4 linked regions of the Tribolium castaneum genome follow. The protein of the gene in region 3 purifies or fractionates together with the protein of the main gene of each other region. This does not show direct contact. Links are inferred from orthologs where the notes say so. Each region holds a gene or a part of one and is shown on either strand. Other genes may lie near its edges.

What was found.
Region 1: the proteins of dre4 (region 3) and CkIIbeta fractionate together in Homo sapiens (co-fractionation; 4 studies listed by BioGRID and IntAct, with this or other methods). This does not show direct contact. The link is inferred for Tribolium castaneum from reciprocal best matches to the Homo sapiens genes SUPT16H and CSNK2B.
Region 2: the proteins of dre4 (region 3) and Top1 fractionate together in Homo sapiens (co-fractionation; 3 studies listed by BioGRID and IntAct, with this or other methods). This does not show direct contact. The link is inferred for Tribolium castaneum from reciprocal best matches to the Homo sapiens genes SUPT16H and TOP1.
Region 4: the proteins of dre4 (region 3) and Duba purify together in Homo sapiens (affinity purification with mass spectrometry; 3 studies listed by BioGRID, with this or other methods). This does not show direct contact. The link is inferred for Tribolium castaneum from reciprocal best matches to the Homo sapiens genes SUPT16H and OTUD5.

Annotation. Positions count from the first base shown.
Region 1 is NC_087397.1:979,360-984,257, reverse strand, and holds CkIIbeta (casein kinase II subunit beta), read right to left. Parts: upstream 3,106-4,898; 5' UTR 2,962-3,105; intron 2,754-2,961; 5' UTR 2,750-2,753; coding exon 2,678-2,749; intron 2,628-2,677; coding exon 2,525-2,627; intron 2,475-2,524; coding exon 2,283-2,474; intron 2,234-2,282; coding exon 2,044-2,233; intron 1,772-2,043; coding exon 1,663-1,771; 3' UTR 1,159-1,662; downstream 1-1,158. Other genes in the region: probable DNA double-strand break repair Rad50 ATPase, read right to left, coding at 1-41; mitochondrial import inner membrane translocase subunit Tim17-B, read left to right, coding at 516-659, 704-1,057. UniProt on the Homo sapiens protein: Regulatory subunit of casein kinase II/CK2.
Region 2 is NC_087398.1:8,304,248-8,309,299, reverse strand, and holds the start of Top1 (DNA topoisomerase I, mitochondrial), read right to left. Parts: upstream 3,058-5,052; 5' UTR 2,952-3,057; coding exon 2,910-2,951; intron 2,617-2,909; coding exon 2,061-2,616; intron 1,886-2,060; exon of another isoform or gene 1,738-1,885; coding exon of another isoform or gene 1,733-1,737; intron 1,686-1,732; coding exon of another isoform or gene 1,606-1,685; intron 649-1,605; coding exon 374-648; intron 265-373; coding exon 235-264; intron 121-234; coding exon 1-120. Other genes in the region: Rnmt (mRNA cap guanine-N7 methyltransferase), read right to left, coding at 4,706-4,782, 4,832-5,052. UniProt on the Homo sapiens protein: Releases the supercoiling and torsional tension of DNA introduced during the DNA replication and transcription by transiently cleaving and rejoining one strand of the DNA duplex.
Region 3 is NC_087398.1:7,050,822-7,054,180, forward strand, and holds the end of dre4 (FACT complex subunit spt16), read right to left. Parts: intron 2,542-3,359; coding exon 1,934-2,541; intron 1,880-1,933; coding exon 899-1,879; 3' UTR 768-898; downstream 1-767. Other genes in the region: Snx21 (sorting nexin-21), read left to right, coding at 1-301. UniProt on the Homo sapiens protein: Component of the FACT complex, a general chromatin factor that acts to reorganize nucleosomes. The FACT complex is involved in multiple processes that require DNA as a template such as mRNA elongation, DNA replication and DNA repair.
Region 4 is NC_087403.1:2,189,123-2,193,559, reverse strand, and holds the end of Duba (OTU domain-containing protein 5-A), read right to left. Parts: intron 3,120-4,437; coding exon 2,858-3,119; intron 2,813-2,857; coding exon 2,555-2,812; intron 1,364-2,554; coding exon 1,236-1,363; 3' UTR 794-1,235; downstream 1-793. UniProt on the Homo sapiens protein: Deubiquitinating enzyme that functions as a negative regulator of the innate immune system. Has peptidase activity towards 'Lys-48'- and 'Lys-63'-linked polyubiquitin chains. Can also cleave 'Lys-11'-linked ubiquitin chains (in vitro).

The sequences.
Region 1 (4,898 bases), on a different chromosome or scaffold from region 3:
GGGACTGCTGTGGCAGTTTGAGTCTCCATATTTTGGGACATCTTTGGTAGTGTTGTAAAGTGCGTTGTAAAGCGTGGAAAATTAGTCGGAAAGGGCGTATTAATAGATTTCTAGGTGACTCGGAAGATGGTTTTATTTTTAGAAAATGCATGGTAACTTTGAAATTTCAAATTTGCCGCCAAATAACCTCAAAATCAAAAGTAAAAAAACGAAATTTTCAAAATTTGGCCCGAAATTGACCAAATCGTGGCATTCACACAGTTTAAAGACCCAACCAAGGGGTAAATATTAAATGGAAAATTTCAAAACGGTGTTATGACATGATTCGATCTTTCGACCTCCAGTCAAAGTGAATGCGGACGGTTTGTAAAAAACCACAGATTTAATGCAAACAGTGACTCAATTGACCAAAAATCGCCTGAAATTATAATTCCACACGTGCGAGGTACGTGACTACGAAAAATCAACCCCCAAATCATTTTTTTTTCTGTAATTTTATGGTTAGGTCACTTTTGATGGAGGAATACACGCGTGAGCCATGCCCCTGGAGGATCGTGGACGATTGTGGGGGCGCCTTCACTATGGGGCTCATCGGCGGCGGCGTTTTCCAGAGCATTAAAGGCTTTCGCAACGCCCCTTCGGGTTTCAACAGACGATTTGTATGTGCCCCCTTTCACAAGCCCGTGGTGATTTTGCGTTTTAGGTTGGCAGTTTGGCTGCTATCAAGCAACGGTCCCCTATAATCGCCGGCAACTTTGCCGTTTGGGGCGGCATGTTCTCCACAATTGACTGCGCCCTAATCCACATTAGGAAAAAGGAGGACCCCTGGAACTCCATTATAAGTGGGGCCGCGACTGGGGGCATCCTCGCGGCGAGAAACGGGCTCCCGGCCATGGCCGGGAGCGCCTTCATTGGGGGCGTTTTGTTAGCTTTAATTGAAGGAGTCGGGATTTTGTTCACTAGGTTGTCAGCGGAGCAGTTCCAGCCGCAGATGCCCCCCATGGAGGACCCCTCCCAGCTGAGGGGGCAACAGAACGGGGGCTACTCGTTCCAGTAGGCGCGCGTGTGTTTGTAGATAAATTTTTGTTTAAGGCGTAAATATAAGTTTATTTTGATCTGTGTTTTATTTATGTAATGGGTCAAATAAAGATTCTTACGAAAAACAGAAAATTTTATTTGATAACATGCGAATTCATAACTTAGTCTTGGTTGTGATTACCTTAAGTAAAAATACAGAACCTAGGTTTGCTTCCTATGTTTTATTTAAAATGTGTTATTTATACATCTTAGATTACGCTGTGTGATTGAAAAATTCAGACTTTTGACCACTCTATTTACTAATTAAGCTCAGGCATGACACACCAACTCATCTGAATTTTTTAATCAGTTATTTACAAACTTGAATGCTAGTTAATTTTACACGAAACCGGTGACGCTTCTAAATTAAACTATCCTTACATTTATAAAAACAAAACTGGGAAATTTATTATACATTGAACCCTATTTATAAAAATGATGGAATTTTTGCACATTTTTAACCTTATGCAAAGTTAACGCCATACAAAAGTATGAAAGAAAATAATCAAGATTTAATTTCATACATACAAGAATACACAAATTTGGGGTAGAAATAAATTAAATCAAATGTATACACCTTTTAAATTAACGTTTACCATTATTAAAGTTCAAACTTCTCAGAGGCGCCTTAAAAGTCGAGGCTGCTTGCTGTTGCAACTGGTAAGCAAGGGGATGAATTTTAAAACCAAATAACCTGAAATCATTTGTTGAAGAACAATTCTAAAAAAATCAAGTGAGTCTAAATAAAAGCGGGGTCAAGACAATGCTTTAAAAACAACGAAATAAAAAAATGACTAATTTTTCGTTTCGTGTAAAGTTATTGAGGATTATTATACGTAACATCCCAAAAATTCCGAAATGAAGTAGGTTTTGACTTCTCAGTTGTCACTTGATAACTGACAATATTAAATTCGCCAAGCACTCTTGACCAGACTTTCAATTAGACTCACGCCAGTTCGGCTATACCTAGGAACAAATTGATTTGTTGGACGCTTTGGCCTGTATTCTGGGTGCACCATGAAGAGCATGTGAGGGAAACCTGTCCCAAAATAGGCCCCATCTGTATGGTGGTGCCTTGAAGACTTTGGTGTGTACACATCCATACATTTGGGGCAATATGACTTGACCATTGCCTCCCCAGGTACATCAGACAGCCCTAAAGCACAAACCATTACCCAAAAAAATACCAAAAGTGTTGGGGTTACCCAAAGGCAGCATTGCCTGCGATTCGCAGTAAACTCGTGGACAATACCCAAAATCCCCAGACTGGTATTTTTCAATCATTTGGGCGATCCCCCGATTTGTTAAAATGTACCTAGCGTGTATTAACCCATAAAGCATCTCGGCCGCTTGCTCAATCAGGTCGGATTGGTTCGGATTATCGTCAAGTTCATCATCTAAAAAGCCGAGTTAAAAAAATGTGAAACCAGGGATGGGTTCAAAATACCCGGTTCTAAGTCTAGTATCATATCAAGAGCTTGCCTGTAGTGCGGAACTTGCTCATTCAAGCCCGTCAAGTTAAATTTGTCCTGTATATAATCCTCATCCACCTGCAAATACACTCAAAAATCTCGTCTTTAAAACAGGCAAATTCATTTACTTCGCAAAAGAATTCATTTCCTCTAAGTCCGCAAAACCATGAAATCCACGAAACCTCCTCTGAGCTGCTCATTTTCCTAAAACATTTCCGATTTATTTAGAAAATTGGAATTTTGAGACGGTTGTGGCTGTCCAACCCTATGTTTAGATTACGTTTAATGACATTTGTGACACAACTACGACGTTAATTTCCCATTTTTGGGCTTAGAAGGGATGTGGAGGGTTGGCAAATGACGAGATTAGGGCTAAATTGTGATCGGGGAAAGAAATATTTGAGAATTTTACCTCTTTGTACCTTGATTAGCCACGCTTACGCTACTTCATCTACGCGAAAAAAGAGTTGATGTTGGGCTCATCTAGCGGAAAGTGACGGCATTAAATGACAGCTTTAACCGCTAAGTTTGAAAATTACAAGTGGGATTTTTTAACTACAGTTAAACCTCAGAACGGCGTGCACAACTTATCACACACGCAAACGGGGTTGCATCCAAGAAAAAATCAAAAATAACTCACCCTCGCGCTCACCCTGTATTTTTTTCTATCCATACAGTAGTATTAATTAATCAAAAATATTCACTTATAAAATGTTTTTTTTATTTTCAATACAATGTACCGTTATCAAAATTTCATATCAACTTCATTAATCAACATATTATGTAATAACTTTTGCACTTTTGCATTCATGTGTGTCTTAACTTATTAAATGAGACTTTTTCCAAGATTTTTTTCAACTTGGCATTTTCAAAATAGGCAGTTTAAGACTCCGCCCGGCATTATAAATCTTCTACAATCTTCTACATTAATGTATTACTTCTTTTCAAACCTGCTAAGAGCGTTTTTTAACATCAGCAATTCTTCTTTCTCCAAAATTATTATTATTATTATTATTATTATTATTATTATTATTATTATTATTATTATTATTTTTATTATTTTTATTTATTTTTTTGAGCTCATTAGGATAGCTTTTTAGCTGCTTATTAAAGTTTTTTTTGAAAATGTTCAGCACGTTTGTTGCAACTTTTCGAAAAGTGTGGATGTGTTTCCAATAAAAATCTCTGTATAAACACTATAATTTTTTTCTGAAAATAAAAATGACCGATTTGCGCTCCGCTCTCTAAACATAGTCAACCATAAATAATTTTCTTTTGATGACATTATGTAACCCAAAACCGTGAAAACTAGATAAAAATAGTGAAAATCGGATCATTTCCCTATTTTTAGTTTGCGCAGACGGCCGGTCTAGTCGAAGGCTTTCCTAGGCGCCGCGACGTCGTCACCCGAATTATTAAGTGACATTTAATTCCATTTGAACCGGACAATAAACTTTTAACCGCCTATTGTTAGTTGAAAAGTGAAAACCCAATCTACTTTTAGAAATCTGCTTGCACAAGTGGGACGTGCTAGTTGCGGTTTTTGAAGACTGTTGACTCATAAATAAATTCTGGCTCTTTTGTTATCATTATTTAAACAAAGGCTAAATTACACCAAAATGTAGTAATTGGTTTATTGTGATTGTTAATTGCGAGTCAAGGTTGTAGCAGATTATTTATTGTTCGGCTTCATTCTCTTGTGCGGGAGAGTGTTGTAAACAAACAAGTGGTTATAATACATTGCATTTTCTTCCACGGTGTGTTTAGTTAATTGGAAGGTTGTTGTCGCTTGTACTGTAATTGCAGTGTTAGTGCGACGATGTTTTTCTGAAGCTGAGTGGGTATGAAAGACGGCAGGAAATTACAAAAATTAATTCAATGTCAGTGAGACGATGACGCTCCACATCTAATTTTTTAAACAAAGTTCGAGGTAAGGCGCTCTTATAAAATGTGATTTTCCTTATCTGCTCCAATTAATAATGTTATCACAAAGCAATTTCGCAGTACTAACTATCAATAACAATAGCGTTTCAATTGTAATTATTGTTTTTCCTAAAATTACAATAGAAATCCGGTTCAAACCGTCGTAATTTAATGTTATGTTTGATGCATCCGAGCGTACAATTTTGTATCTGGGCCATTGATCTGGTTGTCTATTCACATTCTTCCGTCCTAATGAGTTTTTAATTAATTGTAGCGTCACATAAAAGGGCTCACTAGAGTTCTTAATTGAAAATTCTTGAAACGTTTTTAAAACTTCTTTGAAATATCGTGTAATAAGTATAGCGGAAGTGGAACGCAAGTTCTAGGTCTTCAGGTTAGTATTAACAATCAGTATGATAGTGAAAG
Region 2 (5,052 bases), about 1.3 Mb from region 3:
CTTCTTTTCAGATTTCTCCTTCTTCTCTTTTTTTGGCTTCTTTCGCGCATTTAACGGCATGTCATCTTCATCGTCCGACTCAATTTTTCTTTTAACTGACGTATGTTCCATTCTGGCGGACTAAAAATGCATCAAATCAGTAAAAAAATACCAACACCATGCAAAATATTAGTCAAAAATCAAACTAAAACTGTTAACACCACTAAACAAACATTAATACTTCAAAAAACCTACCAATCTGTGTCTGTGAGCGAATGGTTTTCGCTGAAAATACAATTGAACATTAATGACTACAAAGATTACAAATTATTGTCCTTAGCAATCGTATGATTTTTATTTACGTAAAGACGATAAACTTGAATGAAACACCTACCAGAGGCAAATCTTCATCGCTGTCTTCTTCCTGCTTCACATCAGCAGTGCTATCTTCAAATCTTGACTCGTCCGATTTAAACTGAGACAAATTGTAATCACAGCTGCTCGCAGCTGAAGCATTTTTGTCGTCGACTTCATCTTGAGACTCGGGCTCTTCTTTGATGATGAGTTTGTTATCATCTTCATCGACCGAATCCTCTCTTGCGGAATCTTCTCTTCCCACGTCGTTTTCATGTTTTGAATGGTTCTTACTCTTCTTTTCTCTCTCATCGTCTGACAGTAAAAAATTGTTTAATCAACATTCCATTCGCGTAAAATGTGTAAAATTGGATTTTACGGTTAGTTAAAATTATTGTCACTTGTCCCAATTGGATTTTGGCCAAGTTTTAGAAAATTGGACTCCGAATTGTTTAATTTTTATTATGTAATGAACCGATTCTTTTAATTTATTTCTTCCAAATCGTAACAAGATACGAAAGTTAATCTGCTGGTAATTAACAACTATCTAACAAATTGTTGCATATCAAAGAGTAATTGCTAACCCAATTACAGAGAATAATATTTATATCTACAGCAAATGCAAAGAAACCTTTAATTCACAATTTGTTAATTAAATAAACATTTTGACTAAATAATAAACTGTTGCCAATTATGATCTAATGATGGATTAAGTGATTTTTTTTTATATACTAAGGACTCCATCACACATGAACAAGATATGATTAATTAACATCAACGAGATGCGGGACAATCACAAATATATCATTTGATATTTTAAAACACTGATAAAAAATGTCAAGGTGCTTAAAACCGCTCATTTTAGAATAACAAACGACATAATAAATTAATTAAATCAATTATTTCAATAATTACTGAAAGTTGTTTCGGGTCTTCGTGTATTTATTCCTCAACAAAATGAACAAACAACCTACATATGGTCTAAATCTAGTTATTGCAAAAATAAGAATTGTTTTCGAACATTCGTAGTTTGCATTTCAAAGTGAGACGTGAGCTTGGTTTTTCAATGTCTTGGATAAAACACGTTTCTTAAAGGATGTTACAAAAATTTTAAAATTCAATACAATGTCTTCGTTATTTCGCATAATATAAAGCAAAAAAATGCATGAGCAGCTTCGAATATTGTTTTTGTTTAAATAATGCATAAATAAGCGTTCAAAAACCGTATTAGTCCTGTCGGTGAGTGACTTAAAGACAATTAAAATTACGTACCAGCTTGCGTCAAAAAACATTGATTTTCGTCCACAATTACGAAGATGGTTACATTTTTCAAACATGCCTTATCTACATACCTGCAAGCCATTACAGTGATTAAAAACTCGAGTAGGTTTTTATTTACCTCATGTTGAAAATAATGATTCGAGCGTTCTAAAAATTTGTATTTACAAAAATTTTGTCAAATCAAACTGACTCGAAACTATGGACACAATAAAACAATAACAATACGATGAAACTGTGCTCAAACTTAACATTTTTAGTTAAAGAGTGCAAGGTTTAGGCCTAGAGCAAAAAATAACACCTACAAAAACTGACAATAGCCACTACTTTTGTTAAAATTTTAGTTAGGAAAATTTGGATACAAACCCTTGGCCATTTTTGCAGATGTGTTTTATGCTTTACGCCCTCTGGAAATAATTTTTTAGCAAATGAGGTAAAAGTTAAATTACCGTAGGATTTCTCCGATTCTTTCTCGCTCTTCCGCTCCTTGTTCTTGTCCTTCCGGTCTTTATCTTTGGAGCTGGAATGATGCTTGTCCTTGTCTCTGTGCTTGTCTTTGGAGCTGCTGTGGCGGTCCTTGTCCTTATCCTTCGAGGAGCTGTGCTTGTCTTTATCCTTGCGCTCCTTGTCTTTCGAGCTCGACTTGTGGTCCTTATCGTGCGAGCTTTTGTGCTCCTTTTCCTTGTCCTTCGAGGACTTTTTCTCGTCCCGGTGCTTGTCCTTGTCGCGGTGTTTGTCCTTGTCGCTGCGCTCCTTGTCCCGACTTGAGGACTTGTGTGAACTGTGGCGTTCCTTATCTCGGTCTTTGTCCTTCGAACTGGAGCTATGCCGGTCTTTATCCTTCGAGCTCTTGTGCTCTTTGCTTTTACTTTTCTCCTTGTCTCGCTCCCGGTCCTTGTCTCTGTGCTTGTCTTTATGCTCCGATTTGTGGCTCTTCTTGTCCGAGTAGCCGTTTATGCCGTTCACTTGGGCCGTATCGCTGTTATACTCCTTCATCTTGTGGCTCTGCACCAAAAAACGTGCAAATTATAAATGGAGCCCCCCTCGATTTCGCCCCAATTGAACCGAAAGCAGCGAAAAGAAGCCGTTTAAATGCGTAATCTCGGTTTATCGCGAGAAAATTCTAGACCTGATGCCACAAACGTGGGACTTAGTCTCTGACGCCATTTTGGGACTTAGAAAAATTTCGCTCGAACGCTGTTAGAGCACGAGGAAAGCGCCCTTATTTCACACAAGCGGGAAAATGTGGACGAGCCGAAATTCGCGGAATTAAATTCTAGGCGAGATTTTGTACTTACAGGACTGGAATCTTCCCCATTTGCTCCGTTTTCGACTTCCATCGCTTCACAGATTGAACGAGGCAAACACTTAGAATCCTCGTTGGGGAAACGCAGCGAACGCTTTTATGACAAAGTACGCGATTTTGCGTAGTGCGCACGCGCCGCACTCAGAGGCAATAACCTGTAGCGCGCCAGGATTTGAATTTCGTGCGTTCAACTTTGAACTTGAAAAGTAGACGAATGTCACAGTCAGCTGCTTGAAATTTATTGCAGAGATTCGGGAGAAAGTTCATGGCTTTAATCGATGATGAGTCAGAGGATGAGCGCACTTTTGGGTTCATGCACAGCTTTTGCGGACCGTTTTTTGGAATTAATGTTTAATGGGACGGTTACGTAAAGTATTGTGCACTTGTTGCATTGTAATATTTCGAACAAGATCATCGAATACACTTTTTTTACCTCCTCCCACATAACACGTGTAAATTTAGTTCGAGCTGAGAAAAGCTACCTATTGTTGTTTCAAAAATTTCTTCTATTATTGTCAGGTTTACCTGACTTTCTGGGAAAACTCATTCGAATTGTTTCCTTTTGTTACCTCTTTTAGAAATAGCACCAGAAATAGCTTACTCCTTACATCAAAGAGAAAAATGTTCCGCGTTCCACTTTAAGACCAACAATTTTTAAAATATTTACTTAAAGTGTAAACGTTTTAAAGCGCCTGAAAGCAAAACTGCAATGTCAATCGACTTCGGGTTTTTTCTATTTGGTAAAAAATTAAACAGAGATTTGATTTGTGGCATTATTTTCAAATAAGACTCGGCTGACGTCTTGAAAACCGAACTTCTAGAATTTATTTTCAGCTGCTATTTTTTTGTATGCTTTAAATGGCATTTAAAATTATTTAGAAATGCTATTCAGTTCTACTTTTAGACAAGTAAAATCATAAATGTAGCAATTTTTTATAACTATTTACTGAAAACGTATTGATTTCAATAGAAACGAATCCTGAAAAATATGAGATTGACATCGCCCACGATAAACGCTTGAATATTGAGAATACCGGAACTCTTTTCAAATATATTTCAGAAAAGAGGAATAAGCTTCAAATATAATAGATAAAATATTTGTACAATGTATACAGTGAGCGGCAAGTCTTCTAAATTTAGTTGTCTACTTAATATATTTAAAAGAAAAACGAAAGAACTGATAAAAATACTCTTAACAAAAAAAGTTATTAAGATTTTGTTTGAAATCTATTTCCATGATCATTTGGTGAAATAACAAATTTATTGTGTTGTTTTTTGGTAGTATTTAAACGTAAGATAAGATGTAACATGTAATTTATTGAAACGATCAAAGAAAATTAGAGGTTTTCATAAAAAAAATGTGTCGATAGCGACGTTATTCGAAAACCAAGACAAAAATTTTAAATTCTGTTTAATAAGATTATTCCATATTTTTGCGGCCCACTGTACAAGCAAATTATAGGTGGAATCTATTTTTTTAATATTTTTTTTGCTTCGTGTTCAGGTTCATTATTTTTTTCGAACTCGCAAATTCCTTAAAACGGCACACCTAAGAATAATAAAAAAAAGGAATAATCCATAAAGCAGTACTATAGCAGTGGTTTAAAATGTGCAGTAACAAAAAAATTTGAAAAAATTGCCTTGGTCTCCAAATGATTTGACTATTAGTATTACACCGATATTATTTCTTATACATTAAAAAATGAAACAATATATAAAAGTCACCAGTTTTATTATTTCAATAAATAATAGTCTTCTTGTACTAAAACTGTACATTTGGTTTACTACTTATATATCATAAACAGGTGTGCCATCCGTATTCCACGTATTCTTCACCTTTTCAAAGACAAACAGCATATACAAGGCTGCAAAAAACAGTCACCTCACAAGTGATTTAAATAAATATCAACTTACAAGAAGCCTCCCACTCTGACTTGGACAACGTCCCAATTTTTCCATTTTTGCCCTCTTTCTTCAAAAATTCCTCAGCATGAATATAATCCCCAGGATCAGTCCCCAGCAGTGGGGTATTGTCGTAAGGAGGATACGTTTCAAGACTTTTCATATTAATAAGCAGCTGTCTTCCCTCATTTTTCATTTGTTCATAATAATCGTAAAACTTTTCCTTTTTGACA
Region 3 (3,359 bases):
CGTGCTTATCGCTTTATGTAGACTGTTAGGGTGCTGCATGTCAATTCCCGAGTGTTCACAATGCCAAAAATGGGCTGATTTAGCCCTACATAGATATGAGGGGGTTAGTGATAGTGATTTGTTGGAGTTGTATGTACCTTTATTGAATGCTTGTATCACAATTTGGTGGCAGAATGGACGAAATAAAGATCTGCTTGAGCAGCGGTTGCAAGATTTGAAGAGACAAGGGGTCAAAATCAATCCGCAATCGACTTTGTTGGACGAAGTGAAGGCAGTGGAGGGAAAGATATTTGGGTTGTAGCAATTTTCACACCAGTGTTGTGTACTTAATTAGCATCGCGATATTTTACTGATATTGTTAACGTATTTATTTTGGAGTTTTATTTGTTTGACGACTGATATTTGCAGTTATGGGTAGCAATACTCAATATTTTCTGTTTTATTCACGCCTGAATATACATCTTGTTTATTTGCTTTTTGTTTTAGTACTTTGAGCAAAAAATAGATAATAATTTTTTTTTTGTACTTACACCGCGGGATAACTCACTCATACAACTTAAGTAGACCAAAAGTCCTCTCTGTTGTAAATATACCCACTTACCTCTCCCCAAAAATTCCAATTTCTTGCCAAATTTACAGCCGTAAAACGCCGTCAGTTTGTCATCAAGCAACAGCATTTGGTCTTTTCAAATTTATTACATGTTTTGCAATAACTTCATAAAATGTAATACACGAAAACTAAGAATTCCGTGCAAATTAAACCACGGTTTATATCAAAAGTTTAATCTGTACATTCAGTGGAAAGAACTTAGCCTGAACGAAACACAGAACTTGAAACACAAATCTCTAACATAAAAATAACTTATACAAATACAACGGTAAAAACAACTTCCTCGAATTACTTCTTCGACTTCTTGGACTTGTGTTTATCGCTGCTCTCCTCCCGACTGCGCTTTTTCGAATCCGAATGCGAGCTTCTGTGATGGCGGTCCTTGTCTTTCGAGGGTGAAGATTTCGATTTCGAACTTGAAGAAGATTTACGCCTATCACTATCTCTGCTGCTATGTTTCGAACTCGAATGTTTGCTACTTGAGGAATGATGGTTGTTTGAATGTTTGCTCGGCGAGCCTTTGTGGTTGCTTTTACTCGACGAGTGTTTGCTGGGTTTGCTCGACTTGTGATGCGACTTTTTCCGGTCGAAAGTATCGTCGAAATTGCGTTCCCGGTCCTCCTCGGCTGCTTCCCGCTCCAGGTCGGACCAGTCCTTCCCGGATTCTTCATCAGATCCTAGATCGTCCTCCCCGGAAGCGCTTTCGTCACTCTCCTCAGTGTCGCCTTCAGAGTATTCGGAATCTTCCTCGCTTTCTTCCGACACGCTTTCCATGTCGGTCGGTTCGTAAACTTCGTCCTCGTCCTCCGTTTCCTCCTCTTGGGCCTGGGCTTCTTCGTCCGATTCCGGGTCCAGGAACGTCCATCCGCCGCTTTCGAAAAATCCCTCGGGATCATCGGTGATTGTTTTCATGATTTTGACCCAGTTTAACGACTGGACACCTTCGGAGTAGCGGATGTCGCAAGAGTTGAGCCATTCTTTGACATGGTCCAGCATATTCATCGGGATGGCGTTCACCATTGCGGTTTTGCGTTGGTAGTCCTTGAAGACGAAAATCATATCGAAGTTTTTCAAATGGAATTGGACTCTTTCGAAGTGGACTAATTCGACGTCTTCGAGCGTAATTACGAACGGGGGCCATTCGGTTAAATTGACGAGGCAACCCGACGTCGGCTGGAGTAATACTGTGGACCTGTAGGGGGCTCCGGGAAAGCCGAGCTCCCGGAACGGCGTATCGAACTCGATTTCTTGTTTTGTCATCGCTTCGACCTAAAAATACGAAACACACAAATAAAAACACAAACAATCAGCTTATGAACCCACCTTTTCGCAAAAGCTCTTGAACGCCGTCTTCAGCTTGTGCCTCAACTCCCTCTCAGACTGCTCAGCAGCCAAATCATCCCTATCATGCATATGCTGGTGTTTGCCTAAATCAGTCGTGATTTCACCTACTTCCGTGTAAAACTGCACGTCCACGTGCTTCTTTTTCCCGAACATGATCGCATGCTTCAGGTGAAAATGCAAAAGTATGATCATTTCACCGTCGCAAGGTTGAAAGAATGCATTCTTAATATTATTGTATAAAATATCAACTTTGTCGCCTCTGACTGAAGTGTACCGGAAACCGTTACTGTGAGCTTCCAAAGCGCCGGTCATACGCTTTGTGACGATATTAGGTCGTATGTAAAGATCTTTAAGCTTGGGATTGCCCTTGTTCTGCGACAAGACCAGCGTGTCTTGTTTAACAAGATCTTCTTTTTCGCGTTCTTCCGCTTCGCGGGTTTTGAATTTTCGTTGTACTTCCTTGATTAGTCGGAATGCAGTGTTTAGGTTCGAAGAGGGAGGGGAAATTTCTCCGGGCTCTTTGGTGTTCAAACTGCGGTAGGTAACTTCTTTGACGAAAGTGGCTTCAGGCTGCTGGTAGTTGCCACCTTGAAGTAATAAACAACCACAGTTAAAATGAAAATTCATAGATACAAACTGTGGCGTCATCTCAGCTAAGACACCCTTTCATAACAAATACTTTTTAAATCATTCTTATTCGTTTTTGAAAAAGTGCAAAAGTGTAATTTTTCAAATATGTACAATTAACTGATGATAAGATGAGACGATGAAAGGATTTATCGAAAAATTGTTCGTTTTTATGGCACTATTTATAAATATAGTGGCAGGACTTCGGCACTGTATTATTACGACGTACAGTGATTGTGAATAACGCCACAAAAAATGGACCAATATTCTTAAAAAGGAATAATTTTTTACGGTAAATACCAGCGTCACATCGTGTGACAACATAACGCAAAATGTTTGCATCTTAATTCGATTTATTCAAATTTTTGATAATATTTTTACAGTACTTTCCTTGAATTCCACAAATAATTTAGATCAAATTAAAGTGAAAAATTACAAAAAAATAGAGGAGGTACAGTCAGATGTGTAAAATATCTGATTAAAAATTCGTCATAATTAATCGCGACTTCTCGACTGCAACTCAAAAAATGTTAAATTTTGGTGTATTAAACTTTTAAATCGTCAAAGAATCGACCAATAAAAGTTTAACTTGCAAACAGAATTACAAGTTACAGCAAAGAACTAAAGATATTACACATTTCGTTTAAAAACATTAAACTTGTAATTTTTATTTGGAAAACCATAATTTCAGGTGATGCAGAAGCTTAAATAATGACCATAAATTTGATACAAATTTACTTAAATATTTAAACAGATACGTAATGGTGCATTATGAACT
Region 4 (4,437 bases), on a different chromosome or scaffold from region 3:
CTAGCTGCCACACAACCGTCAAAATTACAACGTCTTACCGACTACTGCTACCAACAACAAACCGAACTCTAGTATCAAAGGTCTTCACCCCGAGCTCGCCAAACGCCTTCATATCACACATTTACCGAAATAAGTGCATTTCGGACTAGCACTGGACTCCACCAACCGATATTCTCCTTATTTTTCTCAAAATCACTGCCTGAACAACACCAACTGGCAACAGCGCCTCCGCCAGGCCCGGACTCCGCACATTCGCCCCTCCACCAGCTACAAGACAGAGAGCAACCCCACGTCATGTAAACAAAACACAAGTTGGCACAAATAACCAACGAAATTCAGAGAATGGGGCAAATCCCGCCGAACAGTCACCATATTTTCCCAAATTATTGAACATAGCCGGTCGTTTGTGACGAAAATTTAAATTGGCAATAGGTGGCCATGGCACACGCGTGCGCAAATTGGCAACACGCACATGTTAGTCAAGCTGTCCTAGGCCCGCCCCTGTTATTAATTCAAATAATATTTTTCTTAGCGAATTTCTCTTTTGGCATTGTAATTAAGTAATCCAAGCACACCATTATGGGATATGCATGTTAAGTACATTACGATGTTGCTAAATATTTTCTTCCTAATATGCATACAAATTACCTGAGTGGAGCATCCACGTTAATTATTCTGTTTTGAGGGCAAAATATTTAACGACGTGACGAAATACCTATAATTTGGTATGCAACAACCTTGGTTGTCTTAATTTTGGGTGTGACCATGATTAGTCCAATTATGAAACGCCAAATATCACAACAATTTTATTTGAACGAAACTGAAATACATTGGAACTCATAAGTACATATACTTATAGATATCTGAAAACATAAATAAAATACTTTTTGACACTGAAATTTAGAGGGCGAAACTTACATCCGTGAAACAGTGTCTCAAAATATAACATTTTGAATTTTTTTTTACAAACGACCCCCCCACAATCCATGCAAAATCGAAACTACGGTACTAGAAACGAAAGCTCTTTCTCCAAAAAAACGAAACTAATCTTCTGGGTGGAGGAAGGTCGTTTTAACTAAAAAACGATTATAACATGCCAATACAATTTTACAAGATATGCATTTTATATAACAAAACAAAGCAATTGCATACCTTGAAAAGCAAACAATGAACCTTAATTAACTAAAAATGAAACGAAAGCACGAACATGTAACTCAATTAATTTAGTATTTAAACTAGGATGAAGTGGATGGTCCCGGAGATCCATGACGCTTCTTGGATCGCTGCTTAAGTTCAGCTAAGTAAGTTTTGCGCGACTCGGCCAGCACTTGGGCCATGATTTCCTGGTCATAATTGTCGTAATCTGTAAAAGTCACACACATTTTAAAATTAAATATTTCCGTGCATTTCCGCCAGATGTTTTCGGCTTGATGACAAAAGTTGACATTTTAGCGAAATTTTATTTTAATAAATCTAAATCGATTCGCCGGGCAAAAAAAATACGAGAATAAAACATTCATAACCATGCTTAAATAGGAAAAAAGAGTAAATGAGATAAATAAAATGTAAATGAAACAAAAAAAATGAGAATGAAAAAAGGGAAGTAAATAATAGTAAAAAGAATAATGCATTTTTTATTGATATTTAATATGCTGTTTGGTTGTATAATGTATAATACTTAAGATTGCTTGTTTTTTTTCGTACAACAGAATGTAACGGTAAATATTTTTTTCAATTACGTGTGGCTCTGGAAAAATAAATAAAAAGGAGATTTTTAATGTGTGTTTTCTTTAAATTGTCTTAAATTGTGACTGTCAAATATGTGGCATCATTGTCTAACAGCCGGTATCGGAAGTGTGAAACATAAAAACATTAAAAAAGAGTCAACAAAGTAAATTTGTATGCCCATATTTTTTATAATATAAATGTAGGAATTTTTTAAGATTTTTCCTGTAATCTACATTTGCTTCTCAAGAACGTGGTGCGCCAGTTTTTAAGTGCTCTGTATATTTTTTAAATTTAATCACTCACAATATGCAAAAAGTACAAAATAATATTCCATGTTTTTTTAAAAGCTTCCCCAAAGAATATATCTTAAATTGTCAGATACTTTAAATTACAATAACGTAATTAAATTGTAGTATGTTATAGCGAGTGACACATGAAGAAAAATTGTAAATGATAATGTTACTAAGTGAAAAAATATAATAACAAGTATAATAAAATAATAAAAGTTCAAAAGTTCAAAAAAATAAAAGTCAAAGTCATTAGTTTTAAAAGCTGCATCCAAAAATGCAAAAAATATAGGTGGTCCATTTAGCTGTACCTACAGCTTTTACAAGCTCTAATCTCTTCAGGAACCACGATTTTTGCCCAATTACATGTGGGCTTAGAATTTTTCTAAGCTAACCCTACCGTAATAACTCGATTATCCTGCGATGAAGCAGCGCATTTGGCCGGAGGGCTAGCTGAAAAAATCGCTAAAATATCAATTTTTGTCCGAAAAATGCACTTAATCGACGTCCATTTTGTTTGAAGCAAAAATCAGACAAACCTATATCACCGCGGTTTGATGGCCCGGCCCCAGCCGACTGATCCGAATCGGAATCAAAATCAAATTTAAAGTCCTCGTTGAAATTTTCATCATAGTCCGGGTTATTAACATCCTCGGCCGGGGGCTCAGAACGGCGCGGCGAAAATTTCGGAAATTCCTCCGGTGGTCCACCGCAGGCTCCCGCCACATCGCCCCCGCTGACGTCGGCCTCATAGCGGCTAGTCGATGGGGACGGCGCCCCAGCGCCTCGGGGGCTCGCTGCAAGGAAATGTTAAAAAACGCCATCGACTCACACTTGAGTACCTAGTGGTGTTGTCTTTGGCGAGTTGGACCCTTTGGGGGACTGCGATCCCTTCGGGGAGACCGAGCCTTTCCTCGACGAGCGCGAGCTGGACATGGTTGCTGATGTTATCGTTGAACTGCTACCACAGGAGTGTCCTTGGTTCTTCAAACGGCGTTCTGAGTCGCGAAAATATTGGATGTAGGACTCGCGAGCTACCTGTTCTTCGATGGCTTCGTTGGTGGCTTCAAAGTCGGTTGCTTTCAACTTGTCTTCTAGCATAGTCTAGAAAGATTCTGATTAGTCAAGACAACTGTCAATCAGGGCGCCAATTTCGGGTCTCACGGATGCACGTAACTAGATCCACGACAGACGAAAAAAAATATAATAACCTTTGTAATACAAAGCTAACACTTAGTAATTCAAAACAACACTATCTGTACGCATATATCACGTCGGAAAAAATTAATCTTCTAATATTTCCGAGTATTGTATTATACACCAACAGCCAATCAGAGAACAGAAACGTCCCGGACGATTATACCGCCATCTCGCGTCCACATACTTGTTGAAATCCCGCCACCAAAACTTGTAAATTTGTTAATTTATATGTGAAAATGTGTGCCTGGGTGTTTTTTTATGTTTGTTTTTATATTTTGCTAGTGAACATTGCGTGGTTTTTGAGTTTTCAACGTTGGCACCCCCTACTAGACAATGTAGTGATAGCAGTGCGGTACACAACTTAATTTGAATATTACATCGAAACTGTTGCAATAATTCACTTTGTGTGGGTTTAACAGTGCAAAGTGCAACCCCGTCCCAATTCACCGAAAAAATGGTATGTATAACCTCACATTCATTACGCCTAGTACGCTTAGTAATTTGACTTAAAAATGGCACTTACAAGGGATTGTGACTTGTCCCTGTGTGGATTTGAACGCACAGATAAGTTTAAGCGGTGAAAAAAACGCCTTTGTCATTTCTTACGTGTCGCTTCGATAAATGTAGATCGAAACACAGTGTAATAAAAGCGGTGCTGTACAGTGTGTCTCAAAATGTACCCCCATGGCTACAGATACGTTACACTCTCACCGGTTCTGAAGTGTTATTTCTGTCAATTTTATGACATCGCTTGTGGTTAGTGAAATGTTTATTAGGATTTATTAGTAATTTAATTTATTAGTAATACTGGCGTAAAAGCAAAAAAAAGTCTGAGCGAAGTGTGTACACGAATTCGCCTTAACTCGAATTTTACTTTTTTAAATTCGGATAACGAGGTTTCACTGTAGAATTTTTGTAATAAGAATTCGATTCCTCAAAATACATAAAAAAACGTCCAAAGCGAGCTAGTAGCTTCATTTTACATTGTAATAATACTGTAATGAGCGCGAGTCTAGGTTTTATGTGGGTTTTGTTGTACTTTTATTTATTTTGAAGAAAGTGATAGGCGTAATTGTTAAAATTTTGAGAATAATTCGTGAAAGCCCCTATAATTTTTACCGAAGTGTTTTCGATTACATCTACGCTACTGCCTTGTGACAGTGGCTGTGCTCCGCCCCTGAGGCTTCGTTATCTAACCGTTTTGCAGCCTTGAACAAAGGTG